2 linked regions of the Oryctolagus cuniculus genome follow. The protein of the gene in region 1 interacts with the protein of each later gene in a pairwise test. Links are inferred from orthologs where the notes say so. Each region holds a gene or a part of one and is shown on either strand. Other genes may lie near its edges.

Evidence for each region.
Region 2: the proteins of RAB2A (region 1) and TBC1D25 interact in binary tests that used the Homo sapiens proteins (3 or more experiments, as listed by UniProt). The link is inferred for Oryctolagus cuniculus from reciprocal best matches to the Homo sapiens genes RAB2A and TBC1D25.

Annotation. Positions count from the first base shown.
Region 1 is NC_091437.1:85,903,956-85,910,161, reverse strand, and holds the start of RAB2A (ras-related protein Rab-2A), read right to left. Parts: upstream 3,553-6,206; 5' UTR 3,538-3,552; coding exon 3,426-3,537; intron 1-3,425.
Region 2 is NC_091453.1:33,757,230-33,763,588, forward strand, and holds the start of TBC1D25 (TBC1 domain family member 25), read left to right. Parts: upstream 1-2,724; 5' UTR 2,725-2,873; coding exon 2,874-2,996; intron 2,997-4,887; coding exon 4,888-4,997; intron 4,998-6,359. UniProt on the Homo sapiens protein: Acts as a GTPase-activating protein specific for RAB33B. Involved in the regulation of autophagosome maturation, the process in which autophagosomes fuse with endosomes and lysosomes.

The DNA of each region.
Region 1 (6,206 bases):
CTCACTATCCACTCTGCCTGTCAAAAAAAAAAAAAAAAAAAAAAAAAGTTATGCTTGAAGCCATGAGAAGTTGGAAGAGGCAAGAAAGGATTCTCTCTGGAGCCTTCAAAAGATGCACAGCCTTGATAACACCTAATTTCAGACTTTTGGTTTCCAGAATGGTGAGAAAACAAATTTCTATAGTTTTAGTCCACCAGTCTGTGGTAATTTGCTACTATAGCCCTAGGAAATAATACACTAATTGAGTCATCTTTCAATACTCTTTCTCTTTAGACTTTCATATAGTTAATCTCCCATTCTTGTTGACTCCCTCTACAATAATTCCCAATGTAATCAGTAAAGTGATGCAAACACAAGATATATTGAGTGGTAAGAGAAAAGGAAATAGGAAATATAAAGCATTTATTTAAGAAGCTTGTCAATGAAAACTAGGAGGAAAAGGAAGAGAAAAGGAAGAGATAGTAATTTAAAAATTCCTGACTGAACGCATCCCTACTATGTTCCAGGCTGGTGTTTGGTACAGCAGTTAAGATGTCCCTTGATATGTGCATTTCAGATCAGACTGCCTGGGTCTGAGTCCCAGCACCATTTCTGATTGTAGTTTCCGGCTAGCGTGCACTCTGGAAGGCAACAAATGACAGCTCAAGGATGTGGGTCCTGGCCACCCATGTGGAAGACCTAGATTTAATTCCTACCTCCTGGCTTCAGCCTGGCCCAGTCCAGGCTATTGTGGGTATCTGGAGAGTGAACCAGTGAATGAGAAGATTTCAGAGTCTCTCTGCCCTCTGACTTTCAAATAAATAAAACTTTTAAAAAGTATTCTTTTTAAAAAATAAATTGAAGAAAATTCTCAAGCGAATGTATGTTTAAGAGTATAAATCTTTTCCCTAGAAATTGGAAAGTAATAAACAAGCATGCTGACATGGCTAAGGGAGCTAGCTGCTAAAGAATCAATTTTTTAAAAAAGGAAGTAAGATGATGTGGAAAACTGACTGCTCCCTCTTGATGCAAATCATCCACTACAGTTTCTGTGTCTTTCTTAAACAATACAAACGTACGCTTATTACTAAAACACTTTTGAGATGAGATCAAAGTCATGAAAATGAGTAAAGCAAAAAACAGCTGAAAGTCTATGTTCTCTTTTGGCAGTATCTCTAATACAGTGGGCCTTTGCACATATTTACTTGGTATTCTTTCTCCAATATTCAGTGACTTTTTGTCTACTTATCTGACGGATACTCATCTTTTAAGTCTTAACTTGAATGCCATATCCTCTAGGAAGCTTTCCATAACACAGAGTCTCTTCACAAACTGATTTTTAAGGAAGGAAATTGTCTGGCTATGGGTATATAACACAGTTGATTTGTCTTTTTTCAGGGAGGAAAACACAATATCCACTGCTGTCATTGCTAGGGAGGGGGACGGGAAGGAACACCAACAGGTTTTTGTGATTATCTTGCTCACCCGGAGTGTGGCATGAAATTCAAGAAACGAAATCCAAATCTGGGCTCTGACCAAAAGATAAATAAGCCAATGAAGTATAAAATTGACCTTAAAATAAGCCTATAAAAATCTCTAAGCACGTTATATATTCAGCAACTATTTGCTGGGCACCTACAATAAACCAATAAAGGTGAGTGGAGAAGAATTAGCTGGCCAGTTTATTCTTCACCCTATACTCTTTATAAAACCTCTATGAATTTAACTCCTTAAGTTCTGATTTTTTTTTTTCTGTCTCAAGATCCTATTTAGGATACTATATTATATCTGGTTGACATGTCTCCTTAGGCATCACTGGGCTGTTGACAGTTTCTCAGACTTCCCTCAATTTTCATGACCTTGACAGTTTTGAGTACACTGGTCAGGTATTTTGTTACATGTCCCTGTGTTGGAATTTGTCTTATTTATTTATTTGGCTGGGGTTATGGGTGTTTGTGAGGAAGACCAAAGACACAGACTGTTGTTTTCATTGTATCATATCAAGGATACATATCATCAAGATGATTGATCATTGTTAAATTTAACTTTCATGATTGGATCTTGGTGGCTTTATAAAAAGAGATTACACACACATAGACACACAGACACACACACACACCCCTTCTGCTATGATGCGAGGAAGGGGAGGACTCTCATCACAGACTATGTCATGCTGTTTGGACCTTACATCTCCAGAACCATAAGCCAAAATAAATTTCTCTTCGATATAAAGTTAGCATAACTCAGATATTTTGTTACAGTAATGAATAACTGACTAAAACACTTTCCTAACTAAAAAGAATGTCATCTCACTTTCCAGGTATTAGCAGCAATACTAAGGGAAAGAAATGAATATTCTAAGTGATATTCTAAATTTATGACAGGCCAGAAGCTTAATGAAGGATGGTATAAAACAATATATGCCATTTCCACAATGCCCACTTTATCCCAAATAATAACATTCCAGTAGGGTCACATAGATAAATCAAGTACCTTAACACATTTCAATCTAACCATTTTCCTAGACCTTTCATAAGATTCCAAATAAGAAATGCAACATCTCAGAAATATATTTCGTTGAAATAGCTTAAAGGGGATATCTTTTCATTATTCTATAGAAGGAAGAAGGTGTTTGGATATCAGTGTACAATATAAATTATTAAACAATAAATTGATTATATATTATCTCTACTATAGAAGTCTGTATCAAAGTTAAAGGCTTATAAGCAAAAAGATCTGATGTAATTGCCAGATTAAATCCAAAGAAGCCAAAAACATAATGTATTAAGAGTAACAAAAACTAGGCTGGCGCCGCGGCTCACTAGGCTAATCCTCCGCCTAGCGGCGCCGGCACACCGGGTTCTAGTCCCGGTTGGGGCGCTGGATTCTGTCCTGGTTGCCCCTCTTCCAGGCCAGCTCTCTGCTGCGGCCAGGGAGTGCAGTGGAGGATGGCCCAGGTGCTTGGGCCCTGCACCCCATGGGAGACCAGGAAAAGCACCTGGCTCCTGCCATCGGATCAGCGCGGTGCGCCGGCCGCAGCGCGCCGGCCGCGGCGGCCATTGGAGGGTGAACCAACGGCAAAAGGAAGACCTTTCTCTCTGTCTCTCTCTCACTGTCCACTCTGCCTGTCAAAAAAAAAAAAAAAAAAAAAAGAGTAACAAAAACTGCCATATTCTCATAGACTAGGCATCAGTTGATATAGACAACTAATGTTGAGTTCAGCTTGTTACAGTCAAGTACATGAATTATACATCAAGCTAAAAATAAAATATTCTAAGGCCACAGTTTTAATGGAAGGCAATTTGTTAATACCTATCAAAATGCATATACCAGCTGACCCAGAAATTTAAATTCTTAGACAAATGTACAAAAATGTCAACAGCAGTGTAACAGTATTCCTCAACAGATGTACACTGATAATGTCTAGCAATAGAGCTTCAGAATACCTTTCTCTGAGCTCTCTGGTAGCCAGGGCAGAGACACATGACCAAGGCTGAACCAAGCAGACATTCCTCTCAAGAATTTGGAATCTTGAGAGACCATCAAAAGGTAATCCATTGTGGCTACAAAGGAGATGGAAGTTCAGCAGAATCCAGTGGTATATTCCCAGCATTTTCTTAATCAGGGTGTAATAGACATCAGGAATTTGGCTTGGCCTTGCCTACTTTCAAACCTGATTCTACTGCCTTCCTATCAGCTCTGTGAACCAGCCAATCTTTGCAATAAAATCTTCTGCTCAGCATAAATGTTTCTGTTTTTTGCTACCACAGACCCAGACTAACAGAATCAGGAACTGATTAAATTAATTATGTTCATCTATGGGGGGGGGGGTTAAAAATTAGATTTATATGCAGTAAAATAGAAAAGACATCAAAGATTTACCCATAAGTGAAAAATATGAAGGTGTAGCACAGCACTAGATATATAATACTAACAGGATTGGGACACACACACACACAAATGCACACATTTACAGATACACAGAAAATTTGTAGCAGGATACATAAATCATCCTTTACCAAACTTACATAGGTAAAACTTAAAGAACATAAAAATATGTAAGTTTTAAAAAGAATCTACTTTAATATCAATAATATATAGGCAATACTTACTAACCTTGTCCAACTACCTCCATAGGGAAGTAGCATTTAAAAAACCAGCAATACTTCCAATGTTTTAAAAAACAGCTACATTAAATTTTCATCTGCTAAGCAATTACAAGGAGGTCTGCAAATAAAACAATACATTGTGAAACAGAAGATTTTGACTTCCTTCTCTCTCCCCCCACCAAACCTCTCTGAGTAATACTACTAAGTAGTTACTTTTTAGTAAGACCTAATCATGGGTAAGGCTGCAAATGCACACATTCACATTTACTCATCCTTGAATCCAACATGATTTTCGGCTGCCTAAATTCTCTAAGAAATCTTTACAAGAATGAGAAAAAGAGACAAAAAAGGCGGAAAGAGCTCATTTAATTACTATTAAAAATCTAAGTTAAGGGTAGAAAATTTATCCCATTTAGAAAGTGGGAATGTGGCTCCCACCCTGAAGCTCACCAGAGGATAAAAAACCAATCTCTTAAACTATGTCACAAAATACTCTTCGCAGTATGGTCCCAATATTTCTTCAGTCTTTTTTTTTTTTTTTTTAAGGATTTACTTGAAAGGCGGAGTCAGAGAGAGGGAGAGACACAGACACACACACACACACACAGAGAGAGGGAGAGAGAGAAAGAGAGAGAGAGAGAACTTTCCATCCACTGGTTCACTCCCCAAAGGGCCAGAATGGCCAAGTGAGCCAGGCTGAAGCTAGGAGCCTGGAACACCTTCTAGGTCTCCCATGTGGGTGACAAAGGCCCAAGCACTGAAGCCATCATCTGCTGCTTTCCCAGATGCATTAGCAGGGAGCTGAATCAGAAGTAGAGCAGCCAGGACTTGAACTGGCACTTGTACATAATGCCAGAGTCACAGGAAGCTTAACCTGCTATGCCACAATGCAGGCCCCTATTCCTTTAGTCTTTACCCCCACTCACCACAAATCCTGTCAAAAACTGTTTACTGCCACACTTTGTATAACATTCCTAGTATGAAAGTCATTAAAACTTCTTTGCAAAAAAAAGTGTGAACTCAGCTCTGTTGCCTCCTCACATAACTAATATAAGTCAGAGAAATATATATATTATATATATAAAATATATACCCAAAGAGATATATTATCCAAATATAAAAATATATTATATTGTATATTAATATATAATGCATACTTATATATAATTACATAATATATGATAAATATGTATTTATATAATATATAAAATATATTATCCAAAGAGATAAAATATATATAATATTAAGAGAAGAGCATAAATTCCATAGGATTGTTAGGTGGGGGATCATTCAGACAAATTAGACCATGCCCAAACATTTCATTTCCAAAATGGGGTTAATAGTAACCTAAGATTACTTCAAGAATATGTATGAATGCTACTCCGTGCTATTCAGCATCCAGAAGGTGCTTAACACACGTGTACTGAAAATCTAAATCTGTTGAGTCATTCAGTACAGTCAAAATCTTCTTCTTGCCCTTCATGTACTTTGTACACATCTATTATATTTTCTTGTTAATTATTGTGGCAAACTGTCCTTCCCTTTAGGGGACAACAGTTCTGTTCGCTTTTCTAACTCCAGCACATAGACTGCTCACAACAGTATTTTACATTTCTTTAAAAATGAAAAAAAAAATCACTCCAGTCGTCTACCCTTTGCATAAATTTCATCTCCTAACTCCTAATCCGTGTCCATCAAACCCATGCTTGAATGCCTCCAGTACAAACCAACTCCTCACTTAACAAGTTCTTTCCATTTCCAAGGGAGTCCAAACCTATCTCTTCTATTCATGGTCTTTGTTCTGCCCACAAAAAAGCCATGAAGAGTAAGTCTAAGACAGCTTTTACATGACAGTCATTTAATTATCTGAAAGTAGTTTCTATATTATCCATTCCAATGTTTCAGTTATTCAACCATTCCCAAAATGTCCACTGACATGTCCTTTGTAATGATCCATATTGATATACTGACTCCAGTTTGTACTCATATATGTCCTTCTGAAATGAAGGTTTCTGCCACCAAATTGTAATGAGGCCCAACAGGGTAGAACTATTCCTTACCTTTTCTGTACATTATACTTTTACTGACCCAGGATCATGTTACTCTTTTGCTGGCTTT
Region 2 (6,359 bases), on another chromosome or scaffold:
CTCATCTGATACGCCTTAACTCACTTCATTGCTTATTCTACTTAAAGACATACTGACCTACTTGCGCTTCCTCAAACACACCAGATTAAGCCTCACTTTCTGCTCACTGAACTGCCTAATTCCTGTGCCACTTATGACCCCTTTGCCTTTGAGCTTGTTTTCCCCTGGTCTTCCGTTGCTCTCATCTGTAAAAAGCTAATGATAATGACACCTACCTCACAGGGTTTTTATGCAGATTAAATGAATTAATATATGCAGACTGTCTAGCATATGCTTTATGTTTGTTAAATGGAAGAATGAATAAACAAATGAAAGAAAAAGTTCTCCCCTGGACTATAGCAAAGATCTCCTTTTTGAACTTCTTCCTCCCAGTATCTTTCTGTCCAAGGCTCTCTCCACAACCAAGGCAGAGGCATCTGACCACATCATGCCCCTGTCTAAAACCTGTACCCCACTACCACCGGGATAAACTGTAAGCACCAGGCTACTGGTTTGCTCATCTCATCCTATGATACCTTAAAAGAGAAGCCAGTTCTTAAACTTAGGAAATCCAACAGGGCCATAGTTGCTTTTGACTCCATGCATATGGGACAAAGAGAGACATGCCAATAACCCTCTTCTGATTTTCTCTTTTTTTCCCTATTCTGACTTTCAAAGAAAATTCCTTATTATTTATATTTTCCAAAAACTAGAGATGTGTATTTAATATTAATACCCAGGCAACAAATCATTTTGAAAGATATTGAAATGGAATTTCAGACTTGTGGACAAAGTCAACCACAAGGGCAGCAACCACACAGCACTGCAACTTGTGGGAAAGAACAATTATGATGGCTGCAGTTTGGTCAATACAGACAGCAAAGTTTCTCTGTGAGCCTCAGATTATACTTTGACAGGCTACAAGTTTACCTCACAGACATGAGTTCCTCCATTTTGAACTTCCAGACAAAGGATACTGTTTGGAAAGAATATGCTTATAAACCCCCAGATTGCTAGAATTTCCAATCCAGGGACTTCTGCTGATTTAGGAACTGTCTCAAAAGACTTATTGGGACCTGTGCTGTGGCATAGGAGGTGGAGCCACCGCCTGCAGTTCCGGCATCCCATATGGGTTCGAGTCCTGGCTGCTCCACTTCCGATCCAGCTCTGTGCTATGGCCTGGGAAAGCAGTGGAAGATGGCCCAAGTCCTTGGGCCCCTGCACCCACGTGGGAGATCCGGAGGAAGCTCCTGGCTCCTGGCTTTGGACTGGCATAGCTATGGCCATTTGGGGAGTGAACCAGCAGATGGAAGACCTCTCTACCTCTCCCCTCTCTGTGTAACTGACTTTCAAATAAATAAATAAATCTTTTAAAAAAGACTTATTGCCTACTGATAACTCCCTCAAAATAGCACCACCAGCTCAGCAACCAGTTATGTATAGCTAATGCATGGACAGATCCTCAGCACCAATCTACATGCATTCAAAACAATTTGATTAACAGGGTCAGTCAAAAACTGTTCAAAACAAGTTACTACACCTCACCTTATTGTACTCTTTTTTCCCCTTTAAAAATTCAGTCCTTTTCACCCTTGACAGAATACTTGTTTGGTTTCTAACTGAACCTTTGTCTCCTGATTTGCCAATCTATTCTGCACTTGAATGAAACCTATCTTTGCTTCCATTTGAACCTAATCTATGATTCTTAGGCTACAAAGTCCAGGCATATTATGATTTCTTTTTTAGAAACAATATTTGTAAGGTCAAACTGTATTTTGTCCAAACCACATTGATGTTGTGCAATGAAATGGGAGGAATGCCTTTTTTATATTTTGCAATAAAAAGTTTCTCAAGAGTCTAAGATATGCCCAATCATTCAGATTTTTTTTAAAAGTATGTATTTATTTATTTGAAAGGCAGGGTGAAAGAGAGGGAGAGATGGAGAGACCTTCCATCTGCTGTTTCACTCCCCAAATGCTGGCACGGTCAAGTCTAAGCCAGGAACTCCATCCCGGTATTCTTTGTGGGTGGCAGGAACCCAAGTACTTGGACCATCATCCACTGCCTTCCAGGCATATTAAGCTGGAGCGGCTGGGACTTGAACCAGGCTCTTCCATACAGGATGCGGGTGTATCAAGCTGTGCCACAATGCCAGCCGCCATTCAACAAATATTTGGTGGATGCACACAGTTTAATAACAGGACCGACTTCAGCTTCAATGTGTTGAGAGAATTAAATAAAACAAAGACCCTTCAGAGAGCATAAAAGTTATTTTCGGAGTAAATTATTTAAGTATAACACGCATACAGAAAGTGCAGCAATCATAACCGTACAAGTCTATGAATTTGCATGTGTAAATTATTTTTTTAAAAGACTGGAAAAATGATTTTTTTTTGTTCACCAGATTCATTTGAAACAAGAGACGCAGGTATTTGAAATAGATGACATCATCTGTCAGCAGGGGAGCGAGGCAGACAGGGGGCGGGTGTAGAACGAACCTTGACATCATCACGCAGCAGCTTCTTTTCCCCGCCCACTTCGATCTCCGGAATGTCCAGTTTAACACTTCACCTAGGTGAATCGGATCTAGACTGCCAAAACAACCAAACCGCGGAACGAGGGCAGGCGGAGCTTCGCCTGGCGCCTGCGCATTGGCAGAAGTGAGGCAAAATACCCGGATTTGGGGGCGGGACACCTGGCAACGGCATTCTAGGCGCATGAGCAGAGCTGACCTCCAGCCTGGGCCAGATGGGAGGGGCTGTGGTGGGCAGAATTGTGTGGCGCCCTCTGCGCCTGCGCCCCGGCACAAGGTGGGGCAGCGGGTGCCCGCACTGTAGGGTGCGCGCAGAGGTGGGGGGCAACGGCCAGCTGTCACACTAAGGGGCAGCGGCGGGATGGCAGCAACCTCCGGGTCCTCGGACTTGGCCGGCTCTGGAGCGCCCCCGCCTGGCGGGGGAGCCCAGGCGGCAGCGGCGGCGGAGGAGGAGGAGCGAGAGGTGGTACGGGTCCGAGTCAAGGTGAGGCTAGTGGCCGGTCGGACATCCCAGGGGAGGGGAAGATGGTGGTATCCTTAGGATGGAGAGAAGAATGATGGGGGGTGGGGAGGGAGGGCTTGAAGACCCGGAGCCTTAGAGAAATATCCTGTGGCCTGGGACTGATAATGGAATGATAGGGGCCTATGGAATAGAGGGGTGGGGCTTATGAGTAGAGGGGCGGGGCTGTAGAGTTGAGGGAGGGGCCGCAGTAGTTGAGGGGTGGGGCCCTGAGCCAGGAGGAATGTGCTGTTGCCCTCTGCAAGGAGAGCTCTGAAGTCAGTCAACACGTGTGTGTTTAGAGTGCACTTTTGTGCAGGTCTCCACCCTTGATGAGCTGGCATACTTGTGGGGAGGAACGAACAGCTGGATAAATGGGAGGCTTTGGAGCCTGGTGACTGCCATGAGGAAATAATGCAAAAGGTTGTGAGCTAAGAAGTTACCTTGGCCAAGGTTGTACAGGGAAATCTCCAGAGAAGGTATTGAAGGAGCAGAGGTCAGAACACAAAGGGGTCAGCCCTGTGCATATCAGGCGGGAAAAGTGTTGCAAGCACAGAGACCAGCAAGGGCAAAGGCTAAGAGGGGCAGGGGGACTGAGCTTGGCATGTTCTGTGGGTCCCCATGTCGCTGGGGTGCAGAGAGTGAGGAGAAAGGTAGGAGGTGAATTCAGGGCATAAGGGGAGGAACGTGGCGGAGGCCTTTGGTGTATACTCTGAGGAAGAAAGCTGTTGCAATAGTTCCAGCGAGCAGCAGGGATTGCTTGGACTCCTGTGGTGGCAATGGCAGTGGCAGTGGCCAGAAAAAGGTCAACAGATCCCTTCAGCATAACAGAGCTCCAAGGCAGGGGTTTGGGGATTCAGCAAAGAGCTGATGCCTGAGCTGTGAAGGTGGTACATGAAGCAAGTGGGAAGGATGTTCCAGACAGGAGGATCAGCACGCACCAAAGGCCTGGGGCTAGGATGTGTTCAAGGTAACTTCCAACAGTCTGGAACTACGTTAATGTAAATAGAAAAACTGGAGCAAGACCAGCCAGGGCCCTTGAGGCCCTCCTGCTGCGGACCTAGGGTTGCCATCAAAGAGATTTTTTTTTTTTTAAGATTTATTCATTTATTTGAAACTCAGAGTTACAGAGAGCAGGAGAGAGCGAGCTTCCATCTGCTAGTTCACTCCCCAGATGGCCGCAATGGCCAGGGCTGGGTCAGGCCAAAGTCAGGAATCAGCAGCTTCTTCCGGGTCTCTCACGTGGGTGGCAGGTGCCCAAGCCCTTGGGCCACTTTCCACTGCCTTTTCCCAGGCACATTAGCAGGGAGCTGACTTGGAAGTGGAGAGGTCAGGACTTGAACCAGCACGTGTATGGGATGCTGGTGGCACAGGCGGCGTCTTTACCCACTACACCACAACGCCAGCCCCCATGGAAGGGATTGAAGCAGGGCAGGGTTGTAATAGATGTGCTGGATTGGTTGCAGAGTGGAGGGCTGATTTAGTAGGGGCCAGACTGCATGTGAGGATTCTGACAAGCATAATTGGGGTGGGGGGATACCGAGAAGGATCAGACACCTGGACTATTGAAAGACCCCCCTCACTTGGACCCCTCGCTTCCCTCCTCCCCCTTCCCCCAGCCCCCGCAGTCTCTTTGCAGAGCAGCCAGAAAGATCCTGTTAAATCCTAAGTCGCGCCACATCCCTCCTCGCTCAGAAGCCTCCCAAAGCTGCCCCTCACTCAGAGCCAAAAGCCAAAGTCCTCACTACAGCCCAGACGGCCCGCCTCGATCTGGCCCCCCATGTCCTTGACCTTGCTTTCTACCGCTCTGCACCTGCCACACTCTTCAGCTTGCTGAACATGGCCCTGATGGTCTTGCCCTGTCTTCTCTCTCCAGAAACACGAGAATTTCCTGGCCCCTGAGTTCCGCTCTTTCGCTGTCGACCCCCAGATCACCTCGCTGGACGTGTTACAACACATCCTCATTCGGGCCTTTGACTTGAACGGGTAAGTAGGCGGATGCCAGAGACTGGCCCCAGCAGCGAGCGTCGGCTGGCTCACTGTTTGTTCGCGTTTTGTTTGTTTTGCTATTATAAATAACGCCACAGGGAACAGCCACGTGTGCGTATCTTAGCGTATCTGGGGAAGTCTAGGGTTAGGATAAACTCCTAGCAGGGCTGTTGCTAGATTAAATGGATAGTTCCAAAGTGCTTTCCGGGCATATCTTCCCAGTTGACAACTACACCAGCAGCATATAAAATGCCTATTTCTTTCTCCCCTCACAAACAGTGATTACCAGAAAACATTGTAAAATTTGCCAACCCAATAGGGGGAAAGTGTTGTCTCTTGGGAGCAAGTGTTATGGTTATATTTTGTTATGGTGGTGGTTTTAGAGGAATACAGGCCCATGGTAACCCATTGAAACAGGACAGAATTGATGAATGTTTAGGATGTTTCCATGGTTAAGATTATTGCATAACATACCTCTTTGCACAGTTGCACAAGTATATCTGAAAAGAATTCCCTACATGTTGTTTGACTTTTTGGCATAAACTTTTGTTGTAAAAAATAAAAGTCATACAGACTGCTTTTTTAAAAAAAGTTTTTATTTATTTGAGAGGTAGAGTTACAGACAGAGAGAGGGAGAAACAGAGCAAGAAAGTTCTTCCATCCACTGGTTCCAGCTGTAATGTCCAGACCTGAGCTGATCTGAAGCCAGGAGCCAGGAGCTTCTTCCAGGTCTCCCACGTGGGTGCAGGGACCCAAGCACTTGGGCCATCCTCCACTGCTTTCCCAGGTCAGAGCAGAGAGCTGGATTGGAAGAGGAGCAGCCAGGACACAAACTGGTGCCCACAGGGGATGCTGGAGCTGCAGGTGGAGGCTTAGCCTACTATGCCACAGCACCGGTCCCCAGATTACTTTTCTTAAAAAAAAAAAAATTTTTTTAATGGGAAGGAGGAGCTAATATGATGGCTAATTTTTATCGGGAAAAAGAAGTCTTATAGCACATTTTAATTAAGTTAGTGCAGGGACTCAGCCACCGGGTGAGGCACCAGCTTATAATGGGTTCCACGTTGTAAGTTAGGTCCATAGTTAGAGCACCACTGGGTCACCTTTGTGCAGCGAGAACCAGATGATAGCACCATTGTGCTTTCGCAGATGCAGCCCACTCTTTGCTTGTTGGTGATGGAAGGAACTAAATTACGGTCTTCCTTGGTGCCTAAAGCTGCCTTTGGGGGTAGCATATTGTAGCTTTATTTATTATTATTTTTTTTTTTACATCGTAAGAAGGCCCTGTGTCCTTCAACTACCTTATTACCGTTCCCAGGAGGGAGCAGCATTCCCCAGGTTCCGGTGTGCCCTCCAGAC